Linked DNA regions of Lonchura striata. The protein of the gene in region 1 purifies or fractionates together with the protein of each later gene. This does not show direct contact. Links are inferred from orthologs where the notes say so. Each region holds a gene or a part of one and is shown in the gene's direction. Other genes may lie near its edges. The genes, in order: SLBP and MIF4GD.

What was found.
Region 2: the proteins of SLBP (region 1) and MIF4GD purify together in Homo sapiens (affinity purification with western blotting; 3 studies listed by BioGRID and IntAct, with this or other methods). This does not show direct contact. The link is inferred for Lonchura striata from reciprocal best matches to the Homo sapiens genes SLBP and MIF4GD.

What each region holds. Positions count from the first base shown.
Region 1 is NC_134606.1:7,669,503-7,684,378, reverse strand, and holds the start of SLBP (histone RNA hairpin-binding protein), read left to right. Parts: upstream 1-8,958; 5' UTR 8,959-9,165; coding exon 9,166-9,209; intron 9,210-9,384; coding exon 9,385-9,516; intron 9,517-11,644; coding exon 11,645-11,749; intron 11,750-12,277; coding exon 12,278-12,337; intron 12,338-12,584; coding exon 12,585-12,716; intron 12,717-13,298; coding exon 13,299-13,448; intron 13,449-14,669; coding exon 14,670-14,754; intron 14,755-14,876. Other genes in the region: uncharacterized protein LOC110473273, read left to right, coding at 183-320, 931-1,047, 1,447-1,554, 1,957-2,070, 3,107-3,212. UniProt on the Homo sapiens protein: RNA-binding protein involved in the histone pre-mRNA processing.
Region 2 is NC_134621.1:5,310,976-5,325,906, forward strand, and holds MIF4GD (MIF4G domain-containing protein), read left to right. Parts: upstream 1-7,124; 5' UTR 7,125-7,244; intron 7,245-9,051; 5' UTR 9,052-9,105; coding exon 9,106-9,187; intron 9,188-9,346; coding exon 9,347-9,456; intron 9,457-9,738; coding exon 9,739-9,894; intron 9,895-10,490; coding exon 10,491-10,934; 3' UTR 10,935-11,660; downstream 11,661-14,931. Other genes in the region: SLC25A19 (mitochondrial thiamine pyrophosphate carrier), read left to right, coding at 798-928, 2,127-2,327; MRPS7 (small ribosomal subunit protein uS7m), read right to left, coding at 12,325-12,546, 13,432-13,599, 14,455-14,518, 14,798-14,931. UniProt on the Homo sapiens protein: Functions in replication-dependent translation of histone mRNAs which differ from other eukaryotic mRNAs in that they do not end with a poly-A tail but a stem-loop. May participate in circularizing those mRNAs specifically enhancing their translation.

The sequences.
Region 1 (14,876 bases):
TTTTACCTCTATTGTAATTGACTTGTGATGGAAGTGGCACTTTTTATACCATTTGGGTGTCAGATGAATTGTTAATTCTTACTGCAGCTTAACAGTTTTCTATTTGGAGCAGTAAGGCAGATGGATAGTTTTTTAAAGTTTTTTGTTTTTTGTTTTTTGTGTTTTTTTTCTGCTGTGTTTAGTAGTACTGAACCTTCAGGTAGTCCCCAGGAATGGTTCTGCAAAAATGAGGATGTTCCTGGCTTCTTTGAGTTTGATGAAAAGCAGACAAGAAGTGAGTGTGGAGATGAATGCAGACAGGCTGCCCAGAGACCTGAGAGGTATGAGAGCAAACTTCTGTGCTTAACTTAGGAAAATAGTTCAGCACATGTCAGTGCCATCAGGTTTTTGTAGGAAATGTTTAGTGTGGAAGGGCAGTTACTACTCAGCTTTGGAGTTTGACACTTTTGCTGTTGAATGTAATCCCCCAGTGGTACAGAGCTCTGAGTATGGAAAAATTACCAGCATTGCTGAATTACTTGGTTTAACAGAAAGAAAATGCAATGTTTTTTCAGCTTCTCTGTTTATACAGCAGAATCCTGACGCTTCTTTAACCCTTGCTGGAATGTCATGAAAGTAGAGAAGCTATTTCAGATGCTTTCAGTCCCCATCCTTCATAGTGTTGTGCCTGTCTACAGCACAGCAGGGAGGCTGACTGTGACTTGCATTTCCCTGTTGAGTGAAATATCTTGTCCGGGGGGGATGTGTGTGAAGCTCAAAATGGTTTTGCTTCTAAACTGTGAGCAATTTGCTCTGTGTTCCTCTGAGTGACTGAAGAATCACACCCCAAAAGGAAACTTCCTCAGCAGCATATGCTGTTAGTTAGCAGAACACTGATAAGCATTTAAACATAGATACAAAATGTTACGTGTGTAAAATCTGTTTTTGTAGTTCCTGTTCTCCCAATTCTTCTCCAGTATGGAAACGCAGAAGAAGAAACAATTCTGACTCCTCTGTGGTTTCAGAGAGCAAAAACCATTATCTGCAGATGTGCCGCACACTGGAGAGGTATGAAATGATTCTCCATGTGGGAATTCATTGATACTATGAACTGGTTTTTGGTATATGACTGGTATTTTCTCCTCCCTTGGTTAATAGCTTTAATTTTATCTGAGTGTGTGCAATTTGATGAGGAAGGTAATCCTGTCAGAATAATTGTGCTGTATGAGAGCAAATATTTACAGTGCTCTGTTGCAAAGTATGAGAACACACAGCACAGGTTGTAATTTGAGTGTAGATTTAGGCAACACTAAAGATTTTGGTAGTTTAGTAGACATTTCACACTAACCTTGGTAAAAACGTTCATGTAGGTATGGTTTCTTCTCTCTGCTTAGCCTCCTTCTGAAAAATTAAGAGGAACTGTGTTACCATAGTGCATGGATTCAGAAATTTCCATTTCCTTTCCAGCCTTACTGACTCAGGACATCAGGATGCTTTTTCAAAGTGCTCAAAGTGGGAAGCCTTTGGTGAAAAAGATGAAGTAATGACAGTACAGCAAAGTATGGGGATAACAAGGTAAATTCCCCAGTGATTATGTTGTTATTTCAATTTGCTGCCTATGCTATAAAGGTGTCCTTTCCTTTTGTTTTTCATCTTTTCATTCACTGGTTACTACTACTTTTTTTGTTTGCCTTCTTACATTTCCTCCAGCATGTGGTATGTTTGGTTGTTGTTTCTGTTCTTTGAGCTTACTTGGCTTTTTCCAGTCTGAATCTCCTTCTTTTGCTTTCTGCTGCCTCTGCCATCCCAGGTAATGATGCAAAATGATGAGTGCCTTTCACACTCTGACTTGTTGAAAGAATTGGAAGTTTGCCTCTCACTTGCTCAGTCTAAAAGCTGGAAGCTTCCTCTGTCTGTCTCCCTAGAGATTAAGTTGTTTTCTAGTGACCCCTCTGATAGTTGTTTGTTTTTATGCAGTGACTCAATTCCACCCAGTTGTGCTTCAGGATGGAACCATCCAAAACAGAAGAAATCCAGCTTCTTTCTGCCTGACAGCAAGACTTGGAGAGATACAGACTTCAGGCTGGAGAGGTATCAAATGCAGCTCATCAGCTGGGTTTGAGAGGCATTTTTGTATGTTATTTTAGTTGCTTAGTTGCTCTCTTGCTGTAATTCAATCTAAGGATTTGTTATAAACATTTGATTTTATTTTTTAATTAGCTGTTTTTCACTATTTATCTTAGGGATGTCTTGATCAATATTTATATGTTTATTTATATCTATATGTGTGGTAAATTCTGGCCTTATGTTTTCATGTTACAAGCTGTGTTAATATAAATGTGTGAGAACCCCAGCCTTGCTCTGGGGTCTCATATGGTGGTGAAATTCCTCCTCCAACCCGTGCTTCCAAAGAAAAACTCCACAGGCTTTAGCTGTTCGGTCTCAAGGCAGTTTATTGTTAGTTATCTAACAGATTATGTTCTTGGACTGCAGCTATTTGATCAGTGGCCTGGGTAGAGGCACACACACACTGACATCCTCTCTGTCTGCTGTCTTCTTCGTCTCTCCCCCCGCCTAGGGCTGCTGCTGTTTTTTATATGATATATTACATATTACATGTTTATAGTTTTCCCCAATACCTACTACATATATTACAAAGTGCTTTTCTACTCTAAACCAATCTGTGAGTGCTAACATCACCAAGAACATGGAGGTAAGGAAAAAGAAGGAGGAAGGACAGGATCAGCCCACTTTCCTCCATCTTAGAACTTTTGACCCCCATGTATAAGGTAAAAACCCCCCTGTACAAGTATTAAAACCCCCCTGTACAATACTAAAAAAATTTCCCCTCTACTTTGTAACTACTTTTACTATACTATCTAACCTTTTGTGATTGCTTGTTCCACCTCCAAAGTTGGCAATTCATTCTATGGCTCAAATTCAAAATCACAGCTGTTTTTCAGCTGTCTGCCAGGGTCTAAAATGCTTCTGACTAAGGCCTGGAACCTCTAAAAATGTCTGAGAGACATTTTGAGTTACCACATAAATGGATTGTTATTGTATTTAGTTATTAAAGTTACCACAATAAAGAAAATTAATCGTTGTTTTTTTGTTTCTTTATTTGTAGGCTTAAACTTTGTAGCAGTTTATCAGATGGGTATCAGTCAGAATACCCTGACAGAGGATTGGAAAGTGCAAATGCTGAAGATACAATACTGAGGAAAAAAATCTAAATCCCAAGGTGAGTTCCTGCTGACTGCTTACTTGATCTGTGCTGTTTCAGTCGCCTACCCACAGTATCATTCTACAGAATGCAACTGTTCAGGTAGATCCTTTTTTCTTTTATTTTGTTAGTGTTTTATCCCATTCTCTTGCACTTAATACAGCACCTTAATTAAAAGACATAATGCTTCCATTTGCTAAATTGAAATTGTTACCTGTCAGCCCGAAAATGTTTTTTTTTATCTCTCAAATGACAAGTGCCAATTTTTTTAAGTATTTCAATAGCACCTTTTCTGTCTCTTAATATTTCTGTGAAGAAGTAACAACTTGGCAATTGCAGCAGTAGATTTTAGTGAAAATTTTCTCTTGGACTGTAGGTTCCTGTGATGCATTAATAGGATGGGTGGTAATCTGGGTTAAACAGATTTTGTTAGAAGCTAGTCTTTGTGTAATTAGATTGTCTTTGATCTACATTTGATGCAGGCTATTAAACATGGTTATAAATGTCTATTAATCAGTGATCTTTGAAAATTTTGTCTTATAAAACTCATTAAGAACGTGGCCAAAATTAGTTTTACACTTAGATTTTGGATTATAGCAATGTGAGAAAAAGGCAGCTAGAGCTTTTAAAAAATTATGCTGATGACATTTTTCTTTTGACTTTATTGATTTTTGATTTAAATTTTTTGAGCATGAATAAGATTTAACATGCTTTCACTTTTCTAATGTGCTAATTCAATATTTGAAAATATCTAGTCTCTCTTTGTATATAGAAGTATTGAAGAAATAATTTCTCCTGTGGCAGAAAAAGACTTGAAGAATAGGATGTAGTCTGAGATCAGATCAAGTCTTGGAAAACTGCTGCTGTCATGTAGGATCTGGACTGGAAGAGAAAGAGATTTGCAGTCAGCATACGTGCAATCAATATAAGGTGAAATTATTCAGGTAAAAGAAGCCTCTCTACATCACAGTTAAGAGTCTTTCTGGTTCCCACATAGTTGATATTTATCTTTTTTTTTGCAGTGGTCTTTGTTGTAAATAAGGCTGTATTAAGGAGTGTATATAAGGAGTGGGTTTGTAATCAAATATTGTAATTGAAAAAAGGGCTCTGCTAGATGTAGAATGTATAAAGTGAATACTTTCTCTGTGGAGCAACACATTGGCTTTCTGGGATGGAAAGATCAGTATTTAGAGAAGCATTGCCTTGGCTTTTTGGCATGATGAGCTCTAACTCTCAAGTGTCAGGAACTTTATCTGTGGAAGTTTAATCTTGCTTGAAAACCAGATAGTGGTTTACATGGTAGAATTCCACACTACCTTCCCTTTTGCTAAAATAAACATTCACATTTATTCCTGTTTAAGACAGAAATTGTCTGGTTGATTTCTAAGGAAAAACCTTAGTCAATAGGATACTTAAGATGTGTCAGAAATTTGTTAATTAGAATCAAGATAAAAGCATGTTTTATGAATTAATAATGTCATTTAGATGAAAACGATGCAAGGGGTTGGGAAAAATAGGCTCAACTGCTTCCTTGTCTCTGACAAATACTTTATGAATGTAGGGTATCTAGTACTGTATTTTTTTAGTAATTTATGTTCTCAAAATGTTCATACTAGCTGTAATACTTCCTTTAGTATGGACAGTATGAGTTTCTCCTTTATACTGTGCTATAAGCTCACCATGTGCAGTGCTCTCTTCCATTTACTGCTACTGTAACACTACAGCTTAAAAGAGGAAAGGAGGGAAATATTTTGTTGCTAAGGGCTGGATATAGCACGTTTATAAAATGCTGTTACCTGCTTTTTTGTTTAGGTTTCTCCAGATCTTTATAAGGATAGATTGTTTTCTGCAAGCTGTGCCTCAAATGTAAAACTCCAGATTTCGTGAACCTGTGCTGCAATGACAATGGATGTTCCTTAAAGCTTTTGTGAGGACATTTCTGCTGTGCCTGCGTTGGCAGGTGACATGTGCATTATTTTTCAAAGGCTGCTTCAGGTGATGGATTCTGCCATTCCCTCTGGAAGTCTCATTCCTCAGGGTGTGCTGATGTTTTACCAGTGAATGGTCCAGTGTCAAGTCAGACTGAAATCCAACCCCTCCAATCAAGGAACCTCCTCTGCTCCACTGGACCAGAATTGGATATGCAGCCTGAAGAACTGCTTCAAAAGAATGTACATAATTTCAGCCTTCCTCCAGTCATTCAAGACAAGCTATTCATAATTTTTGGGTTGGGTGATCACCCATTTGGCCTATTTATTGTTCTCTGAGATGTATTAAGGTGGCATTTGCCTAAGCCAGGTGAGAGAAGAGAAAGGAAAGGTGTATGGTTTATCAAAATCAGATCCTTTTCTTGAAGGGGTTGAGTGACTGTTAGAACAGAAGCACAGCTTAAATACCTGGATTTTGTGTTTATGTGTGTTGCAGCCTGACCCAAAGAGCCAGTCTACAGTTAAAGAATAGGAGAGGATGCATTCAGTGCCTGTTGTTCCTACAACTATTGGGGATGAATAGCAGTATTTGCAGGTGTGGAGCTGCTCTTGTCCAGGGTAAGGGTTGTGATGGTGTTGGGACAGGCTCTCCTTTTTTTTTTTATTCTGTTAACACTGTGTGCAGAAGTTTGAAGTGATAGCTGTGGCTACCATGGTTTGGACTAAATTCACGTGCCAGTTACAAGAATTTTACAATCCTTGTGTAGCATGTACTGGGATACCAGTGGCTGCTAGAGCTGGGAGTTGTCTCTGCAGGAATTTGGTTTTACTTTCCCTTGCTATAGGGCTGGCAGTACCCAGGGCCAAGAGCCCATTGTGCTGCTGATTTTGAAGCCAGCTGCTTCCTCAGAAACTACTCTCCCTCCCAAAATGTTATTTCCAGGCATGCTCAGCCTAACACAAGGGTGTATCAGTCACACACCACAGAGCACGGAGCATATGTGTACGAGGGACACATCTGTACAGCACTTTTCTAAGAGGTAATATTTAGAACCTTGTTGTTCCAGTGTGCATGTTTCCTTGCGATTTATGGTGCTTGTAAATAAAGGGAATGTGTTACATTTTTGGCAATTTGCCTTTAAGCAGAAGAATTAAAGACTTGAACTTTAAAAATCCTTGTTAGTCTGTTTTTGCAGTTGTGTTGTCAGTTTGATTATAAAAGGAATATCTGGGTTCATTAGTTCTTTCTTGTTTGTTTTAGGGTGTTTGCTTGGTTTGGGTAGTGATTTTGGATTTTAGTCCTTGCTAAAAGGGGAAAAGAGGAGTCTTCAGAGATTAAAATTAGACTCTTGAAGGCGGATTGCAATTCTGGTTTTGTCCAGCCCCTCGGTGTTAATGCATTGTAACATAGTGGGAGGGAGAAGCTGAAGTCCCAGCACCCATTCTGCCATGGAAAGGGGTCCTGCTGGAGATGGAACTGCTAGGTGAGAGTAATAGGCTGTTAAGAAATACTTAAACTCATCTTAAGTATTTATTGAAGTATTTTGAGTATGAAGAGCTTTTGCCTATGATAGACAGGGCCTGCAACGGCTTTAGGTATACATCCATAGGATTTTGCAATTCAGCAGTCCTTAAAAGATCTTTGTATTTCTTGGTTGAAGGCATTAGACTAGACATAGCATAACCAATCTGCCTGTGGCAGTTGAATTTTGGGCAGATTTATTTCCTAATCCAGATTCTGTGTGCTTGAACAAGCTATGGTACCTCAAGGGAAGGAATGAAACAGCAGATGAAGTTTGAGGTCTGCTAAAGTCATAGCATGTAGTGCTGCCACTGGGTGTAAAATCATCCTGTGTTCTAATTAGTAACCTCATTAGACTAAATAGAGCAGTCAAAACTGGAATGCTGCCTGTCCATGCACTTGTTTACCTACCCAAGGCTGTCTGGCACAGTTTGCAACTGAGGTAAGCGAAGCAGAAGTCTGGCACTCCACCCCCAGTTTTTCCTTTTAATTTTACACAACTTAATTAAATCTCTGCATAAATCTGTGCTTAGTTTATAATTAAACCAAAATATACCCTGAACTTCAGCAGACAGATTTCAATTTCTTCCTAGAAATAACAAGTATCTTCTGTTGGCATGCTTCCACTGGGAGAATCTCCTTATAGATGATACATTATCTGTGCTTGTGGAAACCATCCTTCACAGCCAGTTCTGAAATGCCACGGGTTGTGTGTAGTTTATTTTGTTTCTAAAACTCCTTTGAGGTCACATCTGAGGATATCTCCTCCCCTTAAACTCCCACCATGGTGTGAAACTGCTTCTCTGAAGGACTTTTGTTGCTGACAAGGACAGAAAGATGCAGTGCAGCTGTAATCTCTGAGCTGTGTCCCAGGAGATAGTTCCACTGGATAAACTGAATTCAATTTGTAGCTAGTGTGGTGCTAAAAGCACAGTGTGGCTTCCAGGCTGTAACTGTCCTGTTTGCCTTGCTTGGGTGTGTTCAGGTAAACATGCTGGTCTAGCTGGTCAGAGCCAGGCTGAAGGGAGGGGAGTTTGTGCATGTTTTGAACCTCTGCTGTATTTCAAGCACGACCTTGGTTCAAGAACACAGTTCTCTTTTTCATAGCAGTGTGTGGGAAAGGAGAGGTGCCAGCAGAGCAGACTTTCCTGCAGGAATGTGGATGTTCATGCAGATGCCACACAGAAGATCTGCGAGTTTGTACAAAATATAACACAGTAAGGCTAGGCAACAGGAATGGAATTTTCAAAATAAATCCCTTAATGCATAGCAAGGCTGGAGTGTATCTTTATTTTAAAAAATCAAAACCAAACACCACCTGTTACTGTGTGCTCTGAAAGTTTCTCCAAAACCATTGCTGCACTTAGATAGTTGCTTTAGTGTTTTAAGCTGATCAAAGAAACCCACCAAGCAAGTTTTTGTTTGCTGCTTCTGCCATCTGTTTTACCAGATGTTGTACCTGGTGACATGGTTTAGCAATGGACTTAGCAGTGCCTCGTTAATCATGGACAACCATGATTAACTTGATCTTGGAGGACTCTTCCAGCCTTAATGAGCTTGTTTTTGTAAGGCTTTTTCAACCTTTGTAATCCTGTGATTGTAAGGCCAGAAGAAAACCATCTCTCTGGAGTGTCCCACCAGTCTTCAGGCTGCAAATGTATTATTGTTAAAAGCTGTTTGTGTTCTGCTGGAGTTCTTCAGGTTGTTTCTAAATTACTGTTCTAAAATGTGAGCGTATTCCCAATAGCAGGACCAGTGGGATCTCACTGGGCATGCATGCGCAAGTAAAAACCCCAGAAAGGTCCACGAACCAAGGCACAACCGCCTCGTGTCGTTACCCAGCCTTCTTCACTATTGATGCAGAATTTAAAGCCACGTCACTCTGAAATTTATGTGGTAACTGTCTGGTGTAGGGTTTGAACTGGCCCTTCAACTACCCTGTGCGCTTCATCGACTGTACAGCCTTGCCGGGGACCGTCATCCTTCATACGTAAATCGCGGGAATTTGTATTTTTCTTTTTGTTTGGGCTGGATTTTCCCCCCGTTGTTTCACGCGAGTCCCGCCGCCGCCGCGCGCCAAAACCGCGCGCCGCCGCGCTCGATTCTCCCGCCAACACGCCCCGGGGGCGGGGCCGGGCGGAGCGGGCTGAGCCATTACCCTGCCGGGGGGGTGGGGACGTGCGTGAGCGTGTACGGGCGCGGGGCGGCCGCGGCGCTTTCCCGCTCGCCCCCCCCCCTGCTCCCGTCCCCGTGGAGGCGCCCCGCGGGGAGGCGGAGCGGGCGCGTCGCGCAGCGCCGGCGGGAGATGCGAAGGGGCCGAGCGGGAAGGCGGCAGCGCTCCCTGGGCTCTGCCTCACCGCCCGCCTCAGCCGCCCTCGCCTGCCAGCCCCTCGCCGCCCGGCCCTCCTTCACCGCCCGCCTCAGCCGCCCCTCGCCTGCCAGCCCCTCGCCGCCCGGCCCTCCTTCACCGCCTCAGCTCTGCCGCAGCGCTGCGCGCCGAGGATCCCCGCGCCATGTCCTTCCGCCAGAGGAGCCCTCACGGCAGCACGAGGAGCAGGTAGGGCCGCCGGGCTGCGCCGGGCCTCGCTCCCCCCACGCTGCCCGGGCTCGCTGCGGGTGGGCGGCCGGAGCCCCTCGGGCCCGGCGCGCTGAGGGAGCGCAGGGGTGAGCGGGCGCGGTCTCCGGAGGCGGACGGAGCCCTCGAGCCCGGCCGGGTCCCTGTTTGTCCGCAGCCCGCAGCACCCCCCGCGCTGGGCCCAGGCCAGGAAACGCGGCGCCGATGGGAGGCGGCGGAGGCAGAACGAGCCCGAATCCTCCGCCTGTGAGGAAAACAAGCCCGGGCCCGAGGACAGCCGGCTGGACAGGTGAGCAGTGCCGACCGTGGCAGCGGCTTCCTGCGCTTTGTTCGCCAGGAGCTGCTGTACTGACCCTTCTGCCAAGCCCTGCCTGGTTATCATCGCTCATCGGCCATAAATAGCTGGTCTTAAAGGAGGGAAAAGGATCGAGCGCAGTGCTCTTATCTCCGAGTCAGTTCTTAGGAGTCAGCATTTTTCATTCTTACCTCTTGAAATATGTCCTTGATAATTTATGTCCTATTTTGTGCTGGTTTACTGTCATTTATCGAGGACTAATATTGTACAGGCCCATTACGTTTCTAAATACAGGCTGTACAAACAGTTGTGGTAAAACTGAAGTAAATTACAAAAATTCGATTCTTAAAAATAATATATTTTCTGTTTCTGAAGGGAGTACAAAGAAGTTGTGTTATATGTCAGCACATTTGTGGAGGGATCCTGTTTTGAGGTCACCCCATAACGCTGCCTTCTGTGTTTGCTAGCACAGCTGGATTTAAGTATCTTATTTTATATCACATTGACAATCTGAGCTGTTCGTGCCGTGGTCTCTTTATCTCTTCGATCTGCGATGGGAGTTGTTCCCACACCCCAGTTGATTGACTCAAGGCTTCTTGAAAACAGGGTGGGTTGTGCCCACCCACTTTCCTTTGCTGACAAATAGCAGGGAACACCTTGGTCAGTGGCTCAAGTTACACTATCCAGAGTAGCTTAAACTAATGCCAGAAAGCCTGGTTGAACAGCAGCACGAGGATGAAACTTTACTGATAGTTTCAACATAAATAAGCAATACTTCTGCGTATCTCCCAGTATTGAATTGTGCAGACACACTTCCTGGTTTCAGTTTGGATTGAGCTCTGACTGAAATTGCTCTCTTCCTCTGACAAAACTACTTTTTGTTTATGCCAATCCAACCATGCCAAATTAAAATTCTCAAAAGTAAAGAGGACCAGGATGGAGGCTGGGTCATCTGGATAATCACAGCACAGGTACAGAATCAAACAAGAGTTGAGGAAAAAGCTCAGGAGCTGAGACCAACTGGGATTCTGCTGTTTGTTTTCTACCACAGGAGAGCAATAATTGAACATGGCCTGCATTCTCTGCAAATCTAGAAATTGGTATAAGCAGAAGTTAAAAAACCTTGGAGCTTGAACAGATTTTTGCAGATGGACCTGTACTGTTTGATAGGGATTTTTAATTTTGTCAAGTTGGTAACTGGGTTTCATCTAAAAATAAATTTAAGTTTGAATTTAACAAAACGTTCAAAGTTGTGCAAACCAGTTTGGGAGCAGGGGGGAATTGAAGCTGTTTTGGTGCAGATGGATCTAATCCCCTGTCTCCAAGGGACATGTTTACACAGAATCCTGGAAAGTCTCCAGAGTATTTCCAGATCTGCTCTCTAGGATACAGTTTTGAGTTTTACTTAGGGAAAATTGGGGAAAACACTGAATAATCTGAATTCAGGCAGCAGTAGGTGGTTGGGAGGGGATATGAGTTTGTTCCCCTGCAAGAGTTTGAACCTGCTTGTGATGCTAAGGGGCTGCAGCAAAGTTGTTAAACCAGTTTGCAAAGGCACTGTAATTCTCAGTTTCCTAGCTAAAATAGGATGGTTTTGTGCCTTTGCCTTCTCTACTAGGCATATATTTACATGGAGCAACTCCTGGTGCTATCGTGTAATTTTAATTAATTAGCTTTGCAACTTAATTCTGTGCCTCAACTTTTATCTCTTATATAGCTAATGAGTCTGCAGTCATCAAATAAATAATTGCTAAGCCATTTAGTGGAGTGAAAACAAGTGAGTAAATGGATAAAGTTGGTATTTCATGTACCATTTTCTGAAGAATATGAGCTGGAAGTTACTGAAAGCATGGGCTGGGTTCTCAAGCTACAGTGGTAGGTTTCTATAGATACCTACATCAATTTTAAGAAAACCCAACACAAACCACACAACCTCAAGGTGGAAGTCGCAATTGATGCTTAATTTTACAGTGATAAAATTTTAATAAAACACAAGGTAGTCACAGCCATTTTGAGTACTGTAAATGATTATATTTAAGGTATCAAGCTGTAAGTAGGGGAGGTAAATACAATAACCGAAGCTTTTAACACAGAGCCTTAATTTTTTTTTTTTCCTTTCTAGTTTTACAACACCAGAAGGTCCTGGACCCCTTTCCAGGTGTTTAGACTGGGGAACTGCAGTGGAAGAAGATGAAATGAGGACAAATGTTCACAAAGAAATCGCTAGGTAACCCCTGGGTGTTTAAGAGGAAGTGGTGAAAAGAAGAGAAATTGAAGTTGTCTTGTAGAACCTGTTTCAAGTTATATTTTTTAACTTCACCACTGTAGTAAAATCAGGTCAACCTTAGCCTCTTGTCTGCTGCTTTTAGATTAGCTTTGGGTTGAGTCCTGCAGGAATGTCATGGGATACTGTATCTCTGGAGATTGAATATGTATCCCTAAATATCTTCCTTTTGGACTAAGCTTTTCCTGAATCTCTTAGATTAAAATAATTAAAATTACTCTCCACTAATGACTGTTTTTTCCTATCATTACTATAAGAAGTTGCTTTAGGGAAAATAGGAAAATAAAGTCCTTGTATTTTTATTGTTTGTAAGGGAAAACTGAAACATCCATTTCGTAGGAAAAGGTCTTTGCAATGTCTGGGGTGCTGCTGCTTTTCTGAAAAGTTAATTTAACAGTGAGCTGTGACAGCGCAGCCCTCATGTTCCTCTTTGTGTATATAATTTCTTAAAACTGATTTTAATTCTTACAGACACAGAAGAAAACTCCTGATAAATGAATTTTCAAGAGAAAGGAAGTCCTCCTCAGGAAGGTAGGTTAAATTTCTACCTTAGCTGAGGAAAATCTTGAAAACAATTTTTATTGCACAGTGTTGTTTCTTAAAACACACAGTTTAAAATAGTTCATCTCAAGTCTGTTCCAACACCATGGTTTAGTAACACCCCAAGCATTTGTTTGAAAAGTTTCAGCATGTTTATTTATAGCCTTTTACAAGTGGGTTTGTTTGAGTGTCAGTGGTTTTCTAGTAGTCCCAAACCTGCAATGTTTTTTTTCTTCAGTTCCGATTCAAAGGAGTCCACGGTGACAGTAGAGCTTGAGACAGATGAGGTGGTTTTGATGAGAAGACAAAAACAGATAAACTATGGCAAAAACACGATTGCATATGATAGATACATTAAAGAAGTTCCTAGGTAAGCTGCTTTTTTCTAGAAAACTAAATATCCACCTGCAAGTCATACTTGTTCTTTATAAGGACATTAATGTATTAAACTTGGTATCCAATACACTTTCAAATAGAAGGCATCTACAAATTAAACTTTTAAGACATTTTTGAGCTGCTAGATCACACTAACAGTCAACTGAGGTGTGGCTTAAAGTTTTATTTTAATGAGTCATTATATAAGAAATACCTCATGCTGCTGAAATGGAAATGAAAGTTCTTTTGGATGTGCTTGTCAGTGAGAGGAAATGAAACTGCTTTTTGCAGTCAGTTTTCTCATGAGTTAACTACAAGACAAAATAGGCTGCAGTTGCTATGGAGTTTGGAATTAAGTTTTCAGATCTATGAATGATAATTCTTTTTTACTATTGTTATTTCGTTTGGCTTGGAATAAGAAAAACTAAGAAGTTTGTATGGAGCTGGCAAGCCTTTGCTTGAGTGCAGGAATTACATGTTGGTCTTCCTCATAAGTCATACAATCAGTTAATATTTAAAGCTATGTTATGTATGTGTGAATAAAACTCTGATAGATTTTTCATCTCTGTCTGAACAGATGCCATCGTATACCAGGAGTTCATCCCAGAACTCCAAACAAATTTAAGAAGTACAGCCGTAGGTCATGGGACCAGCAAATCAAACTGTGGAAAGTTGCACTGCATTCCTGGGATCCTCCAACTGAAGGAGGATGTGATCTGCAGGAAATGTATGTACTGAGTATGCAAGATGCTGTTATAGAAATTATGATGTGAAGTCTCATGTTTAAGAAATAAATACCACCTCAGCATAGTTCTTTTTGAGGCAAGTCAGTGAGTGCTGAATGTTTCCCCTAATTATTTATCTACACTTAGTGCTGTTCAGTTTCGTCTCAGTCAAAATATCCAGTAGCTTCCTTTTCTTTGCCCAGTATCCTTGGAAGGGCATACATACATATCCCTCACTTTTTTAATGGTGAAAGCAGAGCCAGTTCTGCACTGCTCTGTAAAATAATCACCACATCATTGATATGAACCAATTCTTTCTGAGCAGTCTTCAAATTATCTGGTAGGAACAGGGCTGGAGAGTTCTCACTAATGGCAGGTCTCCTGAATATTGAGCTTGGACCAATCCATTGTACAGGAAACTTTCTCACTTGCTAGTCAAGAACAGTGGTATAAAATGTTTCTTCTCCAGAGAGGGAGAATTGTGAACTCATCCCAAGCTCAAAGCACGGCCACAAGTGTTCACAGCCCAAGCTCTAGAAGATGTAGAGTGATGCCCCAGTTATTTCCTCTGTAGAAAGCAATACAGCTGATCAGCAACATGTGACATAAAACTGACAGTAGAGAATGAAGGGGACAAAGAGGGAACTTAATTTCTTAGCAGGCAGTTTTGAGTTAATAAAGTAGTGTTTTTTGTTAATGGAATGCTGATTTTTAAAGCTACTGCAGAGCAATAGGATCTAAAATAAAAGCTTCCTTTTAGATTCCCTTTACTTGCTCAGTGTGAGGGGAGTTGGTCCTTCAGCCAGAACCCTGCTGTGTGCATTGGTGTCCAAATGCTACTTTCAGATGCTGGGGTCTAGTCTGTGTATAATGGATATTAAATCTCTCCAAAACAGATGGATGAAAACCTCATCTGGGGGGGAAGAAAAAAAATCCTCTCCTGTAACATTTGCATTAAGGCATTGCTTGAGCACTGGGTTTTTGTCTTTGACAAGTTGCAGTATTCAGTCTCAAGACTTAATTCAGTCCTTGGCCATTTTGGCAGTACTGAGCTGTACTGCAGTTCTGTTTGCTTTCCCCAGTTTGCCACCACTGTCCCTGTAATCTTTGTAAGTCTCTTTGCTCTCCTCTGGCCATTTTTTTTATAACTGCACAACAAAGTGCATCTTAACACCAAAAAAATCAATTTATTTTATGCTATATTCTTCTAAATGATTTTACAGTTGTCCTGTTGACCTTGGTGAGATGGAGACAGAATCTGTTGGAAGCAATTCTACTGAATCTCAAACAAGCTGTCAAGATAATGATGTAAGCATATCTGTCATTTGCATAACTATTTGTTAATAATCAGTTCATTGCTTAGAATTATATCTAGAGCAGCCTGAATACCTCACAGTTCCTATAATCTACTTTGCTTAGGGACTGTTGAT
Region 2 (14,931 bases), on another chromosome or scaffold:
TGTAGTTAATCTGCCTGCAGATTACAGCACAGCTCTCAGGGACGAGGATTCGTTTACTCTAATTTAAAGCTGCCAGGCTCTTGATTTGATATTTTTGTGTTAATTTCTAGCTCCATTGTAAGAGAACCTCATCCTGATGCAACCTGCCACATTGGCAGTTCTAGATACCTGTGCCTTCTTGAGCAAGAGGAATGCAACAAGCAGCATGACTTTGTTCCTCAATGGAATTTCTTCACCAGATGAACAGACTTTGCACTATAAGTCTGTATATTTAATTTTAGGTGGCAGAGGCTGATGGTGGTTTTGTGCTGGGACGTCATGATTGTCAGGAAAAAGTCTAATACAGAACTCATTTCCCACAAACCTCTGAAATCATCAGGCAGTGTCAGCTTGAGATATTCCAGTCCAGAATACATCAGCCTGAGCAGTCAGGGGTGCAAGATTTCCACTGACCAGGCTTTTACTGGGGGAGGCCATGAAAACTCATCCACTGGCAGCAAGTTGTCTGGTGGCTGGGGATTGTGGTTTCTTGAGCAGAGCAAAACCATAAGTCAGTGTAACGGACCAAGAGGAGCGAGTCCTCTGATTCCAACAGGCATTGCAAGCCTGAAAAAATACAGCGTGAGATTCTTTGGCTGAAACTACTGCAGAAGAGTTGATGTAATTTCAAAGGACTTTTTTAACCTTACTTCTTGTGAAAAGTGATTTTTAACTTACCTCTTATGATCTTTAATCAGAATTCCCTGATAATCCTCTTTTTTTCCTCCTTGTTATCCTTTTCCCTTTCTGCTTCTCAGCCAACATTAAAAACCTTGTCTGTGGCAGCTGTGCTGGAGTTGTCAGCAAAAGCCTCACGTACCCTTTGGATGTGGTCAAAAAGCGACTGCAAGTGGGTGGCTTTGAGCACGCTCGGGCAGCCTTTGGGCAGGTGAGAAATGCTGGAAGTCGTGGATTTTCCTGATTATGGGCTAGTCCAGTGCACTGGAATGCAGCAACAATCCACCAGTGGTACCTGTTGAGTTCATGTTTAGGTTGGGAGCTCCCAACGAGCACTGGTCTCATTTAATAATGTGAATTTATACATTAACGTACTGGGTTTATTTTATGATGGGTCCCAGGAGGGACCTGTCCAGTATACCTTTGCTCTGGCTTGTCATCCCTCTCCAATCTGGGGATGAGTCAGGCAGGCAAAGGGCTTTTGATTTACTTTACTTTTCTAGTTACAGCTTGGTTTTTCTGACTCAGAACCAAATTACTAGCAGAGGATGACACTGGGGTCATCTGTGCTGGGTCACCTGGCTGTCAGGTTCCTCTTCTGCAATTAATATTTTGACACAAGAAATAAGCACCAAGTGTTCAACATGTGTTTTATATATGAGAATAGCCTGAAATTCAAAGCAAATTAAATACTCTGGTGTTCTTCAGCACCACTGTTACCACCTTGAAATACATTTGAAGACAGATATAGATCTTTCAAGGAACTTTCTCTTTTTTTTCCCTAAAATGTGGAAATTTTCTATTTTCCTTAAAATTCCTTGCATCTGAGAAGGAAATCAGTCTGTACCCTAAGAAACTCTGGAATAGCATTTTGATGTATCAGCCCATTGCATTGGATGCTTTTCCTCTTGCAGTAAGATGCAGAATTTGCTCTTAGCATTGATGTGTCACAAGATGTTAAAACTGCACAGTGTAATGTGACAACATGCGGACAGCTAATTGGGAAACTCCTACGTGCTGTAGCTGTGCTTTCTGTCAGAAAACTCAACATTTTTTCCTTCTTAGACAGTGAAGGGAATAGAAAACAGCAGCTGCACAATCTGAAATAATGACTTCACAAACCTGTGCCATAAATTTAAAAATCATGCTGTTGTTGCATGCAGAGGTTTTACAACCATTCAGTGAATGATGTGGATAAGCCATTGCTGATGCTGTATGTCCACATTTCCTCTATCCTGCTCTCTCTAAATTGTCTCTGAAACTTTCAGTTAGTTATTATATTATCCAGAAAGGCATCTCCAGGCTGCATGTCAAGATAATGTTTCTGTGATATAGTTTGGAGATCTTTCTGGTTTTTTCCAGTTGTCTTGAAGTTTTCTTCTTTAACCTTGTTGTCATTCCTCTCTCAGGTACGGACTTATGGGGGTTTCCTGGACTGCATGAGGCAGATCATGCGAGAGGAGGGCCCAGGTGGGTTTTTCAAAGGCCTCTCTCCCAGTTTGCTGAAGGCTGCCTGCTCCTCTGGCCTCATCTTCTTTTGGTACGAGCTGTTCTGCGGCCTCCTGTGTGCCCTGAAGAGCCCTGACAGCATGAAGAGGAAGGAAGGCTGAAAGGGATGTGTGTGGCTGCCTGCTGTTCTCCTCAGGAGGGGAGACTGATAGCCTTGCTCTGTCACGAGCATGTTGGAAATGTCAGAGCTCCCAGAGCTCCCCCAGCCTGTGGGGAATCACCTCCTGGGACCAAACAGAAGGAGAAGGCCACTGCAGTTCTGCTGGAGACACTGAACTGCTTGGCTGGGAGCCATTCAACAGAGCACTTTCCTTCTGTCTCCTATCAGTGCACATTTAGTGGGGAGAGGGGGAACCAACAGACCATTCCCTAGCAATGCCTGTGCTCTGGAAAAGCACCCAATAAAGTGGGTGCGTCCCGGAGCTCACCCTGGATCCCAGAGAGGGGATTCTGGCCCAGCCTAGTGCTGCTTAACCAAGCAAACATCACTTCCTAGCACTGCATCTGCACAGCTTTATTCCTTTGCTCTGTGCCTGCTGTTTGCTCCAGATTCTTGTCTCGGTGTTGCACAGGTCTCTCTGTCCTGTTGGTGTGAAATCAGGTAAAGCCACATTAGTGCACAGACCCTCAGTTTTCCTTTCCGTCGCTGCTTCTTGGTCACCACTTGCTGGCTGAGCATTCTCTGTCATCTTAAACACAGCATTGTCTCTGATCATGCTGGATCAGACTTGTTTTTCCTTTAACTCCAGTGAACTTGATTGTATGCTGAATTCCCTTTTCTCTCCCTGAGTGTCTGGCCATACATCTTTTAGGGATTTGCAGTGCCTCACTTACACTTTTTACAAGCAAACCTGCATATCGAGAGCCCCACTCTGAGGGGATTCAACGCACAAACTATATTTTTACTTCAGGGTTCTTTGCTTTAAAGCAGTGAGTAAACAAATGCTGTATAGAGTTAAGAAATATTTATTCTAAGCTGGAATAATGAAAGGAAAGTCCTGTGGAAACTATTAATTTTAAAAAATCATTATTTATTTAATATCACCTCTGAATGTGTATAACAAGTATTTCTGTAGTGGCCTCAAAATACTTCAGAACCTGAGTCCTGCACTGGTGCTAGCAGATGAAAATGTTTTGACAAGATTTGCTGAAGTGAAAGGAATGAACATCAAATGGGAATTGGCTGGCTGAGTTGCTGTTTCACATGGATGATTGAATTAGAGATGGAAAACTGTTTTTCTGGAGTTTCAAAGGTTTTGCAAGTGGGTAAAAAAACCAATAAAACAACCTACCAACAACTCTTGATTTACGTAAGAGTAGAAAAGAGGAAAATTACTTTCTTCCTCCTCTTTTATGCCGTGTTTTTTTAAGCCTAGCGGGGTGTGGCTGGACTGGTGTGGAAGGCAGAGTTCCCAGCCCTGCCATACAAAAGCATGTTAGTCATCTGCAAGGGGTGGATAAGGCAGAGCACTGCAGTTATTTGGAGGGTGGTTTGATGGTTTTTAAACACAGAGCTTTCCCCAGCTCTTTTGCAGTATTCAGGGTGTTAATCCCAAATGGTCTGGCCAGATTCCAGCGTGACCAATTCCATTCCATTGACGCAACTTCTCCTGGCAATTTTGAGCATATCAGCATTGCTCACTTACCCTGAGCTATTGTGAGAGGCTGTTTTTAACAAACAGCTGCTTCTCTGGTGGCTGAAGTATCTGGAGAAATTCCTTGCAAGCCCAGGCTAAATAACTTTATGTCTGCTATGAGTTTGAGACCTTGGAGTACAAAGTGGCCTGCAGGTGACTGAGCTGTGTAAAATAAAGTTCATTGAGCAGTGTCAGTGTCAGGCAGGAGGTCAATATGTGAGTTTTTTAAAGAGGAAGAGAGAGCTGCGTATAGTCTAAGAATGGCCATTTTGTTTAGAGCAGAAAATGCAGGAAATATGGAGTTTCTCCTAGTGCCTCAATCCTATTGTCATTTTCCTGTGTTATTTAGGTTCTTCTGAGATTCCTCAATCTTCTTAACAATGTTTAGCCTTTGTTTATTGTTCACTTGTTGTTCTTGGAAAGACATCATAAGGAGTAATGAACTCAGCCTCATGACATCCTTCTGAGGGAGAGAAGTGTCTCTTTTCAAAACAGACATAAATAGGTTGGCTTTGTTACTGTCTTTTGTTGCTGGTGAGAGGAATGCCGTCATGGTTAGCAGGGGCAGGCCAGAGCAGAAAATATTCGGTGCTGACCTAGGCTTCCTTAGGAAATGGGGACTCATCCATCCTGTCTAAACATTGCAGGAATTGTTTTCCATTTTTTGTCAAAGAGCTGCTGTTAAACCACACAAAAGAAGGCAAAACTGGCTGGGAACTCAGCAGCAGGAAAGAACAGGAAAACCTGTGCTCTGTTAAGATGTCATTCCTCAAGGGTGCTGTGGAGTTTAGGGTGATGCTGGTGTGGGCAGCATTGGAGCATATGGAGCAGGTTTTCCTCTCTGGGGTTGTTTTTTCCTTCACTCTGCATTAACTGAGCTTGCCTCCACCCAACAGATGGCAAAGCCAGAGTTTAAGTTGTGCCTGTCTGGCCCAGGCTGTGGAAGAGACACTTGTCGCTGTTGAGGCAGGGATGGGAATAATGAGACTCCATTTTCAGAATGGAAGAGAATGAGCTTTATTAACAAGTAGTGTTCCTCTTGTATAACCAGGATCGCTAAGGTGAAACATGGTCGATCTCAAAGTGAAAACAGCACACGGTGGTAGAACATATCCAGAAACAACATGAACAGAAAGAGAGATAATAATTGTTTACATTCCTCCCAGACTTTTTCCCAGGCTTAGCCTGGCAGAAATCTTTCTCTTTTTCTCTCTGACTGAACTGAGAATATCCATAGACACTCCCTGGTCAGAGGCTTTAGGCTGTGAGTCACAAATGTTATAGGCCCATAAAGGCATCTGGGCTTCCAGTGAGAAGGAGAAAGATGTGACAACCTCAACAATATTAGGAGCTGCATCCAACAATCACTTCTTCATCTCTGATCGGCAGCACCTGTCCCTCATAGATTTCTCATGTGCACTGCTGGGGAAAGCACTGTAAGAGGAGTGTTGATTTCTCTGGGGGATTGAAGCTGAATGAAGCATCAGGAGGAAAGGTCTTATTTCTCAAGTTGCTCTGGTAAAACACATGCTGTTAGGACCTAAATCTCTTAGAATTAGAGGAGCAGGGAATGGAAGAGATGTGTGGACACCTTGTTCTCCCAGGTGCTGGGACAGATATACTCTTGGAAGCTGTGCACTCCCGTTCAGTGTGAAGTGACTCAACATGGCAAATGCCTCCCTGTGAGACTTGGCTGATTTGGCCATTGGGATTTCTTTCCAAGCTAATCCTATCATCGGGGATTTGCCTGCAGTTCACCTCACAAGCTGCTCAGCAGTTTGTTTTCTGCTAGTGCCTTTTACCATGAGAACGTCCAAAAGCTCCTTAGCGGGCAGAGGGTTGGTGAGGAGTTGTGCCCCAGTTGTTTACAGCTCCACCATGGCACTGAGCCAGCCTCAGATGCAAAAAATCTGCAAGGAACATGCTGATTCCTGCAATGCTGGCTGGCTCACCAAGTTCCTAGGACAGTCCCACTCTCAGGATACTCATCCAGAGCTGCATGGCATCCTTTCTGACAATAAATGAATGCTTATTCATTTATTATGTTCCAGTTGGGACTGGAATAGATAGTATTTAATTCGGATTTAAGTTTCTCTTGTGATGTAGAAACTGTAACTGTGGCACTTCGCTGTGTTGCCTGAGTGGACAAGGTACATTAAATATTTTAATTTAATTTAAATATTTTCTTATACAGTGGCTCGCTGCAGTTGATTTATTCCTTTCCTCTTCATGCCTGTGCTGGACCCCGCAGGAACATCGTGGCCCTCCTGCTGCCTGAAAAGAAGGATAATCAGGGCCCAGAGCATAGGGCAACAGGAGCTATTTGGACTTTCCATCAATGGCTTGTGGGTGCCCCTCAGCCGTAGGCAGAACTGTACCGTCTCTGTTGGGTGTTGCTGTTGAGAACTGCACCAAAAGGGATCAGCCAAGAGGGATGTTTGCAGCCCAGTCCTACTGCTGTGTCCTAGAGGGGCTTTTGGAGCTGTCATAGTCAGTCCTGAGCCTCACACCCCCGGTGGTTGAGTTCAGGTTTTCTTTGTATCCAGCCAGGCCATGTAGTGCTACAGAAAATATTCCCAAACTGTTCGTTCTGTGCTCCCTCAGCCAGTCCCTGGTTTCAGCAGCCTGCCTGCTCTGCGGTGAAGGCTTCACCCCCTGCGGGGTCTTCCCTTATGAAATGGCTGAGATTTGAGAGAAAAAACGTGAAATGTGTTATATACCATACTCAGCTGTTGTTGCAGTGCGTTGGTTTAGTGCCTCTCCTCTTTCCTGACCTTTTTTCTACTCATTTTTTATACCATTCGGCTGCAGTATGCCCTGACTCGGAGGGAAGGGCGGAATTCACGCCGTTGTCACCCGTAGAGCGCCGGGACAGCCCCGCGGGGAACCGGGGCAGAGGGGTGAGTGCTGCCCGCGATCCCCTGGTGGGGGAGAGTCGGAGAAGCAGCGGCCGTGCCCGGGAGGGTGCCGGGGGGCAGCCGGCCGTGCTCGGGAAGCGCTGGAGTTTCCCGAGGAGCAGCCGGCCGTGCCCGGGAAGCGCTGGAGTTTCCCGAGGAGCAGCCGGCCGTGCTCGGGAAGCGCAGCAGTTTCCCGAGGAGCAGCCGGCCGTGCCCGGGAAGCGCAGCAGTTTCCCGAGGAGCAGCCGGCCGTGCCCGGGAAGCGCAGCAGTTTCCCGAGGAGCAGCCGGCCGTGCCCGGCGCTCGCAGGCGGTGGCGCTGCCGCAGCTGCCGCCGCTCTCCCGCCCGGCCCGGCCCGGCCCTCCCCCGGCTCGGCCGAGGAAATGACCTAAGAGGAAACCTGGGCCGTGCCGGGAGGGCGCGGGGCTCGGGAGGTGCCGGCGATGTCCCGGCGGCCGGAGGACACAGCGGGGGCGGCCGGCAGGTCGGTGGGGCGGCGCCCGGCTCCCCCTGCCCTGTCCGGGGCAGCGCGGGTGTTGCTTTCCCCGGGATCCGCCTCTTCCTCCGTCCGGTGCCCCTTGGGCTTGTGCCAACCGCGGGGTTGGAGCGACGGGAGGCGGGTCCGGTGGTCCAGCTGCCCCGGGCAAGAGGCGTCTCGATGCTGGGGGTTCCACTTGAGGCTTGGCGGGGATGCGCTGGGGGTTCCGGGGACTGGTAGAGCCCCTGCTGCAGACACTATGGGGTGGCAGAGGAGACTCTGCTCTTCTCCCTCTCCTTGCAGTGGCCAGGACTTGTCCAGCCCATGCTGCCAGGTGTGACCCTGCAGGTCACAGGTGCCCTGGCACCTGAGCTGGTGGATCACCGGCAGATTGAGGGTGCTGACCCCAGCCGTGTCAGCCCCCGGGACCGCTCGTCTAGCAGGGGCCAGCGGCAGAGGAGCAGTCGGTACTCACAGCTGCCCCATGTCACCCACTGCCACCAGCCCTTCCGATAAGGTGGTGCTGACAGGAGGGTCTCTACTGCCGGCGAGACCTGGCTGGCTCAGTGTTCACACGCCGTGGTTTGCTGTGGCAGGGTTATTGGCACAGCAGTTCAAAGCAGCCGTGGCCATCCCAGGAACGGAAGCCCCGGGACGGGCCGGGCGGCGGCACAGACGCTGCCGGACGGGCTCGGCCGCTTCCCGCTGCGCTGCTTCAGGCGCTGCGCTCTCGCCGGGGTCCTGCTGCGTGGAGATGCTGCTGGTGGGACACGGGGCTGCTGCTGATCTCGGGCTGCTCCACTGGCAGTGCAGCATGGCATGAGTGCAGATGCACAGAGAGGAGAGGTCGGCTAGGAAGGTGTTTGCCAACTAGTCATGGCACGGAGGGCACCCAACTGCTTGTGAATCCCTCTGGGAAAGAAACCTCTGTCCCAGTGACAGGGTAGGTGAGAGCTTTGGCTGTGAGAGCAGCGTCGGCAGGTGGGGTTGCTCTCTCCTCTGAGTTACTGTTATGCTCTACGTGAGGGGACTGCCCACGGTACTTGTCCCATGCCCCTAAAGGCTCTTGGGCTTTGATCTGGGTAGGGACGTGTTTGCAGAGAGGGGTGAGTAATAGCCGAGGAATTTCGACGAGTTGGCAAAACTCATTTGGACGATTGCCTTCTCCTGTTTGTACTGCCGGTCTGGCCAGCCCTGCATTTCCATCCATCAGATCCTGTGTGAATCAAAGCAAGTCCTTCCTCTCTGTGCCGTGCGTACCCTCTTGCTGTCTTCAACATATCATGAAGCAGAAGAAAATCAATCTAGATACTCATTAGGAGCACGTTAGTGCTGCAGAGGGATGAGAGAGATGGGAGCTATTGCTCTTGGGGATTTGGCTGCTGAGTTTGCTGTGTCGTGCTAGGAGCTGAGGAAGCCTGGCTGTGGTGCAGCAGAGGTGCTCTGGTGAGTGTGAGTTCGATGCTTTTGTACTGACTTTGATTCTTCCCAGATTTTTATATGAAAGGCCCAAGGGAGCAGCGTGTGCATTCCTGTGATACAGCCACATATATTTTGAGTCTGCTTTGCCTGTAACATGTTTTTTATATCAGAAAAATATAAAGCCTCTGAAGTTCTGTCATCAGCTGGTAGGAGACAAGGCTTTGAAAGCTGTGAGAATGAAGATTTGCATAGATCTAGAGTTGGTGCCCTAATAAAAGAGGAATTTCCTTGTCAGGAAACAGCCTGTGCTTCAACTACCTGGGATGTGCCGGATGGGAAATGGGTGAAAGCTTGCCTCTGTCCAGCTAAGCTCTGTGTGTTCCTTCCCCAGGAACTGTGACTAGATCATCCATTGCCCTGACTCTTGCCCTTGGAAAAACCAGTCATGGGGGAAACAGGCAAAGAAGAGTACAAAATACAGTCCTTCGACTCCGAGACCCAGAAGCTGCTGAAAACAGCCCTCAAAGGTCAGCAGGTTTTTATGAGCTCCTCTGCCATGCACGGCTTCTGCACCATTTAATGTGACTGTACTGGCCCCTGCACAGACCTTGGTTGCTTTCCAGGTGCCTCAAAGCAATCAGGGTCCAAAGAGGGCTAGGTCCTAACAGTATTCCTCTTCTCTGCAGACCCCAGTAATGTGGACCTGGAGAAAGTGGCCAATATTATAGTGGACCAGTCTCTCAAAGACTCTGTGTTCAGCAAGGAGGCTGGGCGCATCTGCTACACCATCATCCAGGTGAGAGCTCATGTCAGGACAGTGAAACACCTGGGCTGTTGTGTGGCTTGTCCCTGGGCTGGCCAGGAAGGGCTTTGCCCCAGTCACATGCCCATCTCTCTTGTCCTGCCACTTGCTTCATGCAGTGGCAGCATCCAGAAGAGCAATGGGCTAGCACAGGCAGCAAGTTGCAGCTTTTCTGCCTCTTTGAGAATCACAGAAGGGTATCTGTGTGATACTGCATCCCCCTGCCCCTCTGGCACCCCTGTTTCATCCATCCATCCTGTTTTTGTGGGCTTATAGGCAGAGAGCAAACAAGTTGGCCAGAGCATCTTCCGGAGGAGCCTGCTGAACCGGCTGCAGCAAGAGTACAAGGACAGGGAGGAGCTGCGCACGCGCTCACTGCAGGCCTGGATCTGCTACGTCACCTTCATCTGCAACATCTTCGACTACCTGAGGGTAAGGAGCTGGAGCAGCCAGCTGCTGCTGCCTGGAGTGCCAGGAGGGCCTGGGCATTCCAGGATACCAGAGCAGGAGTGTTGGGTGGGTGTTGTAGAGCCCCAGGATCATGGGGGCCAGAGCAGGTTCTTAGCACAAGGATGCTGACAGAGCTGGTGCTATCTACAGGCTTGGAGAGGCAGAGGAAGTTTTCAGGAACAGTCACAGTTTCAGCTTCCTAATTTTGTACGTTCAGTTGCTGTGGGGTTTGCTGATGGAGTTTGGCTTCAGGCCTTTGTGCAGTATGTGAACTTTGAATTTCTGCTTGGAGTAGATGTAAAAACGATGCAAGTAGAGCTGCAGGCAGGAAAAATACTGTTGGAACAAGTGTATTTCCCATGACTACCTGCTTACATTTAAAAATAGATGTCTTTTACATCATTTGTTCAGCTGCTCTGGTTCCTGGAGACTCAAATGTCTGATCTCTGACGTAAATCCCACTAATACAGCACAATCCTGCTTCCTTCTCCTTCGGAGAGGAGCAAGGGAATAACTATTTAAAATAGCTGCAGAGGCTCTTCTGGCCCCAGGCTGACAACGCTCCACTCTCCTTGCAGGTGAACAACATGCCCATGATGGCTCTGGTGAACCCCGTGTACGACTGCCTGTTCCGGCTGGCACAGCCCGACAGCCTGCAGAAGGAGGAGGAGGTGAGTGCAGGGAGAGCTGCTGATGTGCCTGCTGTCCTGCCAAGGACCTGTAAAAAGCACAGCCCGGGGGGTGCACAGGAGCCTCCACTGCTTTGTGCTCAGCATCTGCTCTTCCTTCTGAAGGTGGACTGCTTGGTCCTGCAGCTCCACCGCATCGGTGAGCAGCTGGAGAAGATGAATTCCCAGCGGATGGACGAGCTCTTCTCCCTGCTCCGAGATGGCTTCCTTCTGCAGGAGGGGCTCAGCTCCCTGTCCCAGCTCCTGCTGCTGGAGATCATCGAGTTCCGGGCTGCTGACTGGAAGATGACGGACGCTGCCCAGAAATATTATTACAGTGAAGTGACGGATTAACCTCCCAAGACAGAGGAATCCCCAGCACCTCCACCAGCAAGCTTCATACCAATTTGGAATTTTTCACATTAATTTTCTAGCACTCCCTGTAAATAGGATTTATACTAGCTAGAGCCTCTCTGCACTTACTGTCAGATGCAGCTGGTGCTGGTCTGACTTCAGAGGTTCAGAGCAGTGGGAAGAGCACACTTCACCCAGCAAGTTCTCCCACTGATTTTGTCTTAATATTGGGCTGCTGTCAGCAAAGGGCTTGGGAGGCTTCTAGCTCACACCAGCATTTTCTATGAGTGTTAAGGAAAGCACAGTTTAGGCTGAGAACATTTTGCTTTTCCCCAAAGCCAGCAGAGCTGTGGGAGGCAGCAGGGAAATATCCCAGCTCAGGCTGTACCTGGTTCTCTGGGATGGGTCACAGAACACACCATGGCCTCACAAACAGCACAACCAGGTGCTTTTATTCCCACACTCCTTCCAACAGGCTGGCTACACCTGTATGCACACAGCCTCTTCCACAGCCAGGAATACCTGCCACAGGGCATCCTGCGACAGAAGAGGTCCTTGAGCACATGTAGGAATGGGTTTTATAGATTTTATATAATAACTGTCACTTTTTTCAGAATTTTGCAAGTTTCAGCTATGTTATATTTCTTATAAGAATGGGAGAGGAAGAAATGAAACAAAATAGTCTATTGAAGGATTTTTTTCTAATAAAAGTTTTCCACTAACATATGCCCTGCTTTCTCCCTGCACAGCTGCTGAGCTCTGAGCAATACTGAAGGGTTGCTCTTGACTGAAGCCCTAAGGCTGAGATAAGTCGGTGTCTGCTCCAGTCTAGGGCCTCAGGGTTTTACACAACCAGGGTACCTGGAGCAAAAGAGACAAAGGTCTGGAATTGGGAAACACTTCCCATAAAACCAGTTTTATTTTGTCAACATTCCCACCAAATCTGTGCAGACCATGTTGCTGATGGGCAAAACTAAAAATCAAAACGAGCCTTTTATTGCCTGTTGTATCCATCCCTGTGGAAGAGGATCCAGCTCTGCAGCCAAAAACGTTGCTGATTTGAGGAACAGAAAGACTTTCAGATCCTCATGAGACAGGTAAGTGAAAGATGGTTTTGTTTAGCGCTGTTGTAAGAAAAACACGTAAGGCTTGTCTTCACAGGGAAGTGATTATGAACTAAGTGGAGCAGCCCCGCTGAGGCTGGTAACTCTGATTCCCCCTTCCCCCATCTAAACAAGCACAAAGAAGTGAACCTCATGGGGATCGTGTGAGCTCTCCCTGGGTTAGAACAGAAGCTGTCTGCAAGGGATATTCCAGATTTCCCTGTCCCAGGCTGGCAGCCCTGGGGCTCTGCTCTCCAGGCCGTGGCAGCGTGTCCCAGGCAGGGTCCCTACCACCAGCGGAAGTGGGCGTACGCCCGGTTGGCCTCTGCCATCTTGTGCAGGACATGTTTCTTCTTGATGACGGGCCCCTCATTGTTGAAAGCCAAGAGCAGCTCCTGGGAGAGCTTGTCTGGCATCAGTGTCCGGCGGTGTTTGTTCTCCCTGCACTCGGTGATCAACCACTTCATGGCCAGGAAGCGCTTCCGATTGTCCGTCAGCGGGACGGGCACCTGGGAAAGGGATAAACCACGGCTGTTATCATCAACCTGCTCCTCCCCAGAGCCACACAGCACCAGCTGCACCTGCAGGTGTTCACTGTGCTGCTCTCTGCAGCCAGAGCTGCTCCCAACAGCTGAGCCCTGCCAGTTCTCCTGCTCTCTCCCATAGGAACTGGCCACTGCTACCAAAATGGAAAATCTGGCCTGTTTTGGAGCTGGGTCCAGACTGGTTTGAGTTAGCAGAGATGGGAGATGGTCACCCCATCTCTGCACCGAATAGAGAGAAGTCACAGAATCACAGCATGGCTTGGGTTGGAAGGGACCTTAAAGATCATCTCATTCCAAATGCCTCCACATCTCACCTCTCCTTTAGGCCCCAAGGGCTGCAGAGCCTGTACTCAGAGACAGATTCTGCTCGTGTTTTAAATACCCCACTGGATCCAGGTGACCCATTTTGCCACGCTGACCTGCCCCAGGGCTTTGGGACCTCTCCCCAAGCAACATGGTGCAGTGGAAAGATGGGACTGGTAATCCAGACAACCAATTACTTTGCTGCTAGTCTCTGTCTCTTTGGAAAATACTTGCTGTGTATTTCTCCTCACATCTAGTCAGAGAACCAGAGACTGCTGCTGATTAATGGTTGCACTTGATTGATCCTAGAAGTCTTTTCCAACCTTAGTGATTCTGTGTGATTCCCCTTAGTGATTAGGGGAAACACAATACTCAGAGGTGGGGATCCTGATTTTGGACAGTTTCTAGGTGCTGTTTTATTCCAGACTGCAAAGTGGTTCTTTGCAAGGAGAGATATTTTTGAGCTGATGGGGTGGAAACCAGTTCATTTGCCTCCCTAGCTAATTGTCTCTGAACCAGATGTGCTCCTAGCCCCCCTTTCATCACCTGGTAGGTTTTGCCTCCTTTGGTGATGTTGCTGAGCCCAATGATGGGCTGACAGTTCTTGAGAGCCTGATGGAAAATGACGTAGGGGTTGCATTCAATTGTTTCCTTCTCATTTTCTGGAGCTTTGTGGTATTTCTCCAGCTGCTTCCTTTTAATGGCCTCCAGAGTCTTGGAAGAAAGGCAAGAAAGAAGACATACAGGGCAGATGGATTCTCTCACTCTATGAGGTTACATCACTTTTACCCCATTTTCACCCGAGCAGCTGGTCCACCAGCCCCAGAGGCAAAAGACCAATTGGGAATTCTTTAACCCAAGTTTTACTTCACCATCTTCCAGTTCTTCTGTCTCTTTTATCAGTCATTGCATTTTGGGTGAGGGGGATGAGCAGCACAAACCTGGGCCAGAAGCCAGGCAAAGGCAGGGACAAAGTGGAGCCAGGAATAGGGGGCTGTGCACTGAGCATCCTCCCCTGCAAAGCCTGGACTCCAGAGCCTCTGTGCTTTTCTGTTAATTTGGAATATTTGGGCAAAATGTGTTTCCATTTCAAGGAAGTTCAAGGGTGGAAGAGACCAGGTGGCAACACCAGTTAATACCAGTTGCTGTGGGTCAGAGCAGGCTCAAAGCTGTGTCATGTAGGTGACACATCTGTGGGACAAGTTGTACAGAGGGTAAGGCACGACAGAGCTGCAAAGATCTTTAGAGAAAATCATGCTTTTTAAGGGTATTGTCTGTGTTTATGTGGTACAAAAGAACACAGGCATTAATGAAGGATGGAAAGAGAAAGTTCTCCACGAAGCTGTCACCTGCTGGTCTGTGAGCTACCGAGGCTGGGGCAATGTACATTTTATCAGACAAATCAGGATTTATCAGAGGAATCATGCTGCAATGGCAGAATGAAACACATCAGGACTACAGAGATGGACCACCTGAGTTCTGGTATTCCCCATTTCAGTGGGTTTGACGTCCCAGCCTTCCATTTTGTCCAGTTTTAACCCAATAGTGAGAAGAAACCTGAGTTCTTACCTGAGACATGAGGCTTCTGGCCAGCACTTTATTTCCACTCTTCATCATCATATTGGTGAATTTGCTGTAAGCACAAAGTCAGACAGGATCTGATAGGAGTTCTGATTTTATCACCCACAGAAATAAGCCCCCCACCCCCATCCCTTTGTGTTGTTCCCATGGTTAAGTGTGGGTGCTGTAATTATCTCTAATCACTGCAGAACAATGGACTCATTGATGGGAAAAGATTAACCCAGAATATAGGGATTGTGCTGTAACAAAAGGCAATGTGAAGCCAGCAGATGAAGGTAGAGGAGGGAGGCACAGGCATTTTTGGAGAGGAGAAGCTGCTGCTTTCTCTGACCTGATCATGGGGTCGCTGAACACGGAACTGGAGAGACTGGGAGGAGCAGCTTTGATGGGTCGAACAGCCTTCAGCTCCATGTGTTCCCTTTCCTCGTCAGTCAGCTCCTCTAAAGGTTTCTGATACGACTCCTT